Oryzias latipes: one gene and its partner. The protein of the gene in region 1 purifies or fractionates together with the protein of each later gene. This does not show direct contact. Links are inferred from orthologs where the notes say so. Each region holds a gene or a part of one and is shown on either strand. Other genes may lie near its edges.

Evidence for each region. Proteins that work in one complex are often made in the same cells at the same time.
Region 2: the proteins of exoc3 (region 1) and exocyst complex component 6B purify together in Homo sapiens (affinity purification with mass spectrometry; 3 studies listed by BioGRID and IntAct, counting the BioPlex papers as one, with this or other methods). This does not show direct contact. The link is inferred for Oryzias latipes from reciprocal best matches to the Homo sapiens genes EXOC3 and EXOC6B.

What each region holds. Positions count from the first base shown.
Region 1 is NC_019875.2:4,994,533-4,998,737, forward strand, and holds the start of exoc3 (exocyst complex component 3), read left to right. Parts: upstream 1-1,401; 5' UTR 1,402-1,533; intron 1,534-4,205. UniProt on the Homo sapiens protein: Component of the exocyst complex involved in the docking of exocytic vesicles with fusion sites on the plasma membrane.
Region 2 is NC_019876.2:5,494,210-5,498,506, reverse strand, and holds the start of exocyst complex component 6B, read left to right. Parts: upstream 1-1,490; 5' UTR 1,491-1,569; coding exon 1,570-1,658; intron 1,659-4,297. Other genes in the region: tkfc (triokinase/FMN cyclase), read right to left, coding at 1-182, 660-665. UniProt on the Homo sapiens protein: Component of the exocyst complex involved in the docking of exocytic vesicles with fusion sites on the plasma membrane.

The DNA of each region.
Region 1 (4,205 bases):
GTTTTTAAAAAAAAAAAAAAACACTAATCCCTCTAATCTGTTTCACAAAGACACAACACAGGACATCACACACCAAGAAATTAGCTGATTGATAAAAATGAAGGCCCGTACACACCGGGACGAATATTCGCCAGGCGTTATTCGCCAGCGTTTTTCGCCACGTTTTTTGTGTTCACACCCAGGCGATTTTCGATGACGATGAGTGGAGTGAACATGCAATTTCATTCCCTGACATTAGATGGCGCTTAATGTAAACAGAAATACTCCTGTACACAAGGTGGCGCTGCGCAGCTTTACGCTTCTTAAAGTCGCTTTTCACTCAGAAGAAGAGAGCAAGTATTTACACGCTTGTCAGAATCAAACAAAGAAAACATGAATATTTCAAGCACCAGTAGCTCCAACTGGTGCTTGGTTCGGGGATGTTTTAGAATGTCCGTCATTATTTCTTCGCGGCAGTGTAGACGCTACTTGGCGTCTATCTTCTTCGCTGGTATGTGTGCTCAGCAAGGCAGTTTTGTGTTTGAGCGCCCCCAAGTTGTGTTTTACTCTAACTTCAGACACGTGAGCAAAAGCGCCATTCTCATTGGTCGAGTAGATTTCGACGCGACGCGTCGAAAAAAAAAAACGAACCCGAGGCGTTTTTTTTTTGACGCTTTAACGCGTGGCATTTTTTCACATCGGTGTGCACACTCTCGTTGGTGCCCTTTGTTTAGTCACGAGGGGTTAAACGTCGGCGAAAATCGCCGGCGAAATTCGTCCCGGTGTGAACAGGCCTTGATGCCAGGAGTCCAGCGCTAAAAAAAACGACAAAAGAGCAGAGAAAACGGCATGATTTGATTTATCATTAAAGTTTCCAGACTTTGTTTGTTTTGTTCTGCGGCATGTTCATAACTGTATAATTTTGACAGAATATATTTTTTTGGAGGGCAAAATATTATACGTCATTTTAGGTTTAACTTGATTTATTCTGTATTAATATTCCTGTCTGTTTTATTCATATTTATGTTCAAAAAGTTAAGTTTAAAAAGTTTAAAAGTTTAGCTTTAGTGTGTTCAGTAAATGTTTATCTTGTTTGACCCAAAACCTAAAGCGTGTTTTTAATTTAGGCCCCCTGTGTGACTGAGTTTGATACCCCTTTAATACTAATTATAAAATTCAGGCATTTTGTGTAAAATGTTAAATAAAGGTAGATAAAGATAGAGACAGAAGGATATCGTGAAATTTGTGTATGCGGGGGAGGGGGGGTTACTCGCCCGGGGAGTAAGTCAGTGTAGAACCGCCACTGGTAAAATGGTCACATGAAATCCTTCCAGAGTATGTGCATTAATGCTGAATGTCCAGCAGGTGGCGGTGCTGACGCAGTTACCCCGCGAAATACGGCAAAGAAGAGACGAAGAAGAAAAAGTAGGCGGTTCTCGGAGGCAAATACGGAAGTGACGTCACACAATAGCAAGGACGTTTAAACGGACTTTATTTGTTTTATTTTTCCTAGATTTGCACCCAGAGTTCCAGTTGATTCCGTGACTGTATGAGGTAAGACGGCGCGGGGCGTGTGTGTGGGCCTGTTGGCGGGAGCCAGGCGGTGGGGGCCGCTGTCGGCCCCGGTTAGCTTAGCTGCAACCCCGGAGCCGCGAACACAGCAGCACTCAGCTGCTGAAGAGACATCTAAGCAAACAGAAGTTCCCACCACGAATGTTGAAATTCACCTGAGTCAGGGAATTGGCAACAATTTTGGCAGGTAGAAAAGCAGCACACCAGCTCCTAGCAAACACGAGCCCCCTTCTTGTCTGTGGTTATTTGTGATGTTGTTTTTGTTGACCTAAGGTCAGGGTCCGGGGGGGTATTCCAGAAAGCAGGTTGGTTATGTGAGTTACCACGGTAAGTTTGAGGCTAAGGAAGTTGATAACCTCAGCTTTCGGTTCCAGAAATGGAGGTATGTTTCAGGATATGAAGTTGCCATAGCAACTCATGCTCTGAACATAACCTGGTCTGGAGCAGGTTTACCTGAAGGTTAGTTTGTTTTTAGAGAGGTGAAGCAGCATGGCGTGTCCATTTGAAGATGATTTAGTGGATGAAGAAGCTCAGTAATACTTTTTCCACCATGAGAGGGTGATGAGACCACGTATGGATGTTGGAAAAATAAACTTTTTTACATTGTTGATCTAACTTAATTATTTAATTAATATATATACTTTTTTTGTTAAGTCAGCTTAAAAATAACATGTAGATTTCAGACAGTTATTTTTACTTTCATTCAAATTAATTCAATTAATTAGGTGTAACTTTGGTGCTGCTGTTAGATCGGCACCGCAAGGGATTGTGGGATATCATTCCCTTTGCCTGTCTGGACGGATTTGGGTTTAAGTGTGGCTTTTTGACCCAATGTGTTTAGTTGTTTAGCTTTTTTACTGTGTTTTACCGAGTTATTTTGTCCTACTAAGCTTATGTCTCTCCACCATGAGTGAGAGCAACGGAGAAGATGATGAGTTTACATAGCACCCCTACCAGTTATTACTGTAACGTCTACGACGGAAATTTTTTTAATCAATTTATGCACGCCGTGCATTTTTTCCCCGTCCTTTTTATTGTTATAATAATGAGTAAACCTGCTCCGGACCAGGTTATGTTCAGAGGTCTCTGGAGCAGGTTTAGTTGAAGGTTAGTTTGTTTACAGAGAGGTGAAGCAGAATGGCGTGTCCATTTAATAATAACAATAATAATAATAATAATAATAAATTTTATTTGTTAGGCGCCTTTCAAGAACACCCAAGGTCGCTGTACATAAAAGTGAAAATAAAATAACAGCAATCGAATGCACAATAAAATATACATATAAATAGGCCAGAAATAGGAAGTTATGGGGGGGGGGGGGGGATAGGCGAGTTGGAAAAGATGAGTTTTCAGTGTTTTAGCGAATTGTGAGAGAGACCCAATGTTTCTGAGGTCCGGAGATAGAGAGTTCCAGAGCCGGGGGGCAGAGCAGCTGAATGCTGACATGGAGGGCCACATTTGGCCCGGGGGCCTTCAGTTTGAACACATGTGCACTAGACAGGGTTCCAGAGCAGCTGAATGCTCTGCCCCCCATAGTGACAAGGCGAGCAGTGGGGACATCCAGATGAAGGGAGGAGGAGGATCTGAGGGTACGGGTGAGAATGGCCACATGAACAAGATCTGATAGATATGATGGAGCAAGTTTGGCAGGTAGAAAAGCAGCACACCAGCTCCTAGCAAACACGAGCCCCCTTCTTCTTGTCTGTGGTTATTTGTGTTGATGTTTTTGTTGACCTAAGGTCAGAGTCCGGGGGGGTATTCCATTCCCACCCGTACCCTCAGATCCTCCTCCTCCCTTCATCTGGATGTCCCCACTGCTCGCCTTGTCACCATGGGGGGCAGAGCATTCAGCTGCTCTGGAACCCTGTCTAGTGCACATGTGTTCAAACTGAAGGCCCCCGGGCCAAATGTGGCCCTCCATGTCATTTTATGTGGCCTGCGAGAGCATAAAAGTTTTTATTTTCTTAAAATAAAAATTGGTGTGTATTTATTCATATCTAGGGGGAATTGGACTTGAAATATGGGATTGGGCAACTAAACATTAGGACTTAAACACTGTCAATATAACCTAACCTGACAGGAAAAAATTTAAAAGGATTTATGCTAGAGTAACACGCAAACATGTGTTTTCTATGCAGCTGTAACTGTCACTTTAAAAGTTACAATAAATAAATAAATTAGTGATTTGACATTAAGGAGAAGTTACGTTTATTTTTCATTACATTTAGTTGCATGTATAAGTTATATCTGGCCCTTTGAGGACAGACACTATGCTGATGTTGCCCTCGGTGAAAATGAGTTTGACACCCCTGGTCTAGTGGGTCTAGATGACCCAACTCCCAATGTTAAAGTGCCTAGGATAGCACAAGGGTTACGTAGGTGTAACTTTGGTGCTGCTGTTAGATCAGCACCACAAGGAATTGTGGGATATCATTCCCTTTGCCTGTCTGTACAGATTTGGGTTTAAGTGTGGTTTTTTGACCAAATGTGTTTAGTTGTTTAGCTGTTTTACTGTGTATTGTCTAGTTATTTGTACTGTTATATTTAATTCTTTCTGCACCATGAGTGAGAGGGAGGGAGAGGATGATGAGTTTATTTAGCACCACTACTGCCAGGTGATGTAATGTTAAAGTCAGAGACATGGTATATGATTT
Region 2 (4,297 bases), on another chromosome or scaffold:
GCGGGTTCGTGCCCCGACCCCCCTCCAGACACCAGGGCCACCTTCCCCCTCAGGCTCTGGAGGTCAGAGCGGACCACCACCCTGTGGCCCTTTAACAGGGACTGGCCCCCGGAGGCCCTGACCAGGCCGCAGAGAGCTTCATCCACACAGCTCTCCACTGAGTTGATCAGCTTCTTCTGCGGCTAAAAGAGGCAGGGAACACATTTATGATCAATAATGCTACTTCACCTTATTCTGTTTAATATAGAGTGACTTTATAATCTGTGGAATCACTAAAACCCACAAAGATTGACGTGGAGTTATTTGTTTCTAAAATGACGGAAGATTCACTTATGTCTATTGGGAGAAGAAAAGTTTAAAATTCTTGACAAAAATGGCTTAAATGCTAATCTCTACTCAATAGCAAAGATCAGACTAATCTTTGTAAACGATATTTTATGATACCGTTTAGGTAAATAACGTGAAATGTCCCTAAAACCCGTGAAAAAGGCTCTTAGCTAGACCTCGTTATCACTGCTCGGACTCTGAACCCTGAAGTGGGCGCGCGGCACTGCTAGCTTAACAGGGCTTTTAATACAACTTTATAATTTAAATAATCAATAAATGGGCGCATAGCTGATTGGAAGTTTTTGAAGATCAATAAAAAACACATGTTGTACCTCCATTGAAACTTTGGTTTGTCTCGTCCAGCGTCACAACAGCAACACGCCGATGCGCTAAGTTAGCTCTGGTTACGGCTAAACCGGAAGTGAGGTAAATTTATTACAAAATAAAACAGAAAAACCGGATGTTAGGTCTGTTTGTAACCAAATCAATCTTATAAGAATAAAAGTTGAAAGAAATGTTAAAACCTATTAAGTCCTTTAAAACCAGTTACTATTATTTTTTTAAAGGAAATGAGCCCTATTTCGATTTTTCTATGGGCTGATTTTTTACTTAAATAACCGAAGACACAAATAAGGTGTTGTAAGTAAAACATTAGAGATTATTTAGTAAAATGAATATCTCCCGTATTTCAAAATAATTTTGTAGTTCATAGGTAGACATCACTTTAAATTTATTAAAAACGTTTGGTGGCATTTAAAAATGTCGTTTTGATGCATTTACTTTATGTATTAATAAATGTGAGGTCATGTCAAATTTTATTTAGATATCTATTTATAGGAAAGTCTAGGGGCAATTCAATAGCTGAATTGAAAATTGCATTGTCATCTGTTGAAAATGTATAAGTTAAAAATTGTAAAGGTTTAAGTGAAGGTGTTGGTTTGATTACATAACCTGGAACAATTATTGAAATTAACCGCCTTTACAGTTTGCTTATTTGAAGTCACTTATTTGTTGTCAAATTAAATTAATAAACGTTAAATATGTCCTTAGTTACGAATACTGACTTTGTAAAAAGTTTTATTGGACAAAATGGCAAAAACTAAGGAAATCGCCGCTCACCTGGCCTACTCCGTAACAAAATCGAGCGAACTTTGTAGTTCCCTGCTGTGTGACGTAAGACGCGCAGCCCTCGCGCTCGGCTCAGATCGGCGCAGCTCTGAACTGTCCGGATCAACATGCAGGATGGCGAGTGTGGAGATAGCCGCCGAACACGAACGGATTCTGCGGGAAATTGAGAGCACAGACACGAACTGCATCGGACCGACCCTCCGGTGAGTCACCGCCTCGCCGTCCGCCGCTGGAAGGGAACCGACCCCGCGGTGTCGCTATGCGGGGGGAAGTTCGGCTAGCTCCAAAACTTTAATGTACATGCTTCCATTATCGGACAGCTATCCGGCTAACTTTAGCAAACACCAAAGCTAGCTAATTAAATCCCTCCAAACCGGCACCTAAACCTTTACAGGACCTTCCGACTGACTAATTGGACTCATGTTTTTAAACTGACACTTTTATTTAATTTTTGTTTTTAAACTCTAACGAAGTTATCTACAGGTATTCGAGCCGTTTTTGATCACTTAGCTGATTAAGCTAACTAATTTACATTTTTCCTCACTGTGTTTTCGGGGACCTCTCAATGGAGAACTGCTAGCCGAATAAAAACTACTTCCCGTTTTTTTTTTCTTGGCTCCAGAGTTAGTCATTGTACAAATGTGCTTTTATTTTAGAAAAGTTTATGTGGTCTTCTTAACGCAGGCTGTTGGCTTTGGTTGTGGTATCAGGGAGTGTCAAGTGCAGCAGCTTGACAAACCCTGACTGTGTCTGCCTGCTCTGCTGCATGACTGATATGTCAGACAGTCCTCTGTTATCTGTCCAGACTCCCACAGAGAAGACTCTCTCGTTCTGGATCATGTTGGATCTTTTAGGTCACAAATTCAGCGTCACAGTGGCATTCCTTCACCCTCATCTGAATCTGCTTCGGCTCTTTCTGTTTTTTTACACTTAACCAAAAGAAAGCCACATTCAACATTTGATCCGATTGCAGGACGAAATTTAGCTAATGTTGTAAAACTTCACATTTTTAAAAATGTTGTTTTTTTGTAAAGAATTTTGTTTGTTTTGGTAAAATGTTGGGCATCACCTGATCATAATACTACCACCACAGAAAGTGAATAGGTATGATAATAGGGAGATCTTTCTTTTCAATTTGACATGTTTGCATTGTTTTTAGAACTTTGTGCGTTCCAGGTCGTACCTATATTCTTGTTCGTAGATGTGTTCTTGGTTGTATGTGTGTTTCAGGTCGTACGTGTGTTCTTGTTCATACGTACGTTAATGTTCATGTATGTGGTCTTGGTTTTATGTGTGTTCCCATTCATACGTGGGTTCTTGTTCACATGTGCGTTCTTGCTGGTGTATGTGATCTTGGTTGTATGTGCGTTGTTGGTCGTCCGTTTGTTTTTGTTCTTGTGTTCTTAGAAGCGGTATTGGGTGTATATGTGTTCTTGTTCGTAGATGTCGTCTTGACTGTATATGTGTTCTTATGCATTCCTGTTCATGTGTGCATTCGTGTTGGTGTATGTGGTCTTGGCTGTACATGCGTTCTTATATATATGTTGTTCTCGTTCATGCGTGCATTCTTGATTGCAGCTGCGATCTTGGTTGTATGTGCGTTGTCGGTAGTACTTGTGTGTTCTCGGTCACATGTATGTTCTTGCTGTGAGCAGCATGATAGGTTTGTGCCTGTAAAATCAGATGCAAAGGTTTCTGTTTACCGACGGCGTCTCGGCGCTCTTGGCTGGCAGTGTTTGCGGCGATTGTCCGCAGAGGAAATGGGCAGTGAATGAAGAGGGGAAATGCAGCTGAGGAACAAGGCTATTCATGGCTTATCAAAGGTGTGTGTGTGTTTTTCTCCCCTTCCTCTGTGTGGAGTGTTTTCTGCTCATCCTGAGTCCCTCCAGCCGGACCCTTGGATTTTTATTTTTGTGTTAAATAGACTTTAAAACACCAAATTAATGCAGATGTGGCACTGATCTGATGGCCTTTGAATAGCTGTCATCAGTTCGGGTTGGCGGTCCATTTAGGCCATCCGGAGAGGCCGTGTGGGCCGATCCAATCTGACGGGGTTGTGCGACACCTCTGGGTGCCACATTCCTCTCCTGGGAATCGGTGTGTGGCGTTCCAGGCCTGACAGCAGTGTTTCTTAGTCATCTGCTCACACTCTGCTGTGGTTTTCATCTTTTCCAGCATCTCCTTCCTGTTCCACTCTCAGCTTTTCCACTCTTCCTCATAGGACCGGTTTTCCTCGCCATCCGCACCGTCACTGGCTAAATTTAGTCGGGAGTGAAGCACGAGAGAGTTTCAGAGGCAAACGCAGCTTTCACAGCTGAGTCGCTCCTCTGTAGATGTTTGTACAGCGCTAAAGGACAGTTTTTATTCATAAATAACACAATTGAGGATTGTATGTTTTTTGTCCTTGGCAAACGCTGTTATATCTTCCATAAATGTCTCTTTTCATCTCAGTTGTTTGTTGTTGTTGTTTTTTTTTGCATCTGTCAGATCTGCTGCTTCATGTCGGGCTTTGGTTTGAAGATTTTCCCGGTTCCAGCTTCCTCTTTGTTCTCGTAGCACCCATACAGGGGTTGACCCGCATGGGTGCTGTAGGTTTCAGGGTAGGCTGGGTCCATGGAGGGTCATAGTGAAGAGTAGGGCTGCACGATATGAGCAAAACTTGCGATGTGCGATATTAGTGATCAATATTGCGATAACGATATAATTTGCGGTATATAAACAAATGACAAAAAACAAATGACCCTCGTTGATGTAGGAGGCAAACATCTAACATGAAACGGCTCATCTGATTGGTCAACATCGGAAAGGGTCCATCCAATTGGTCAAATGCATAAATGGATTT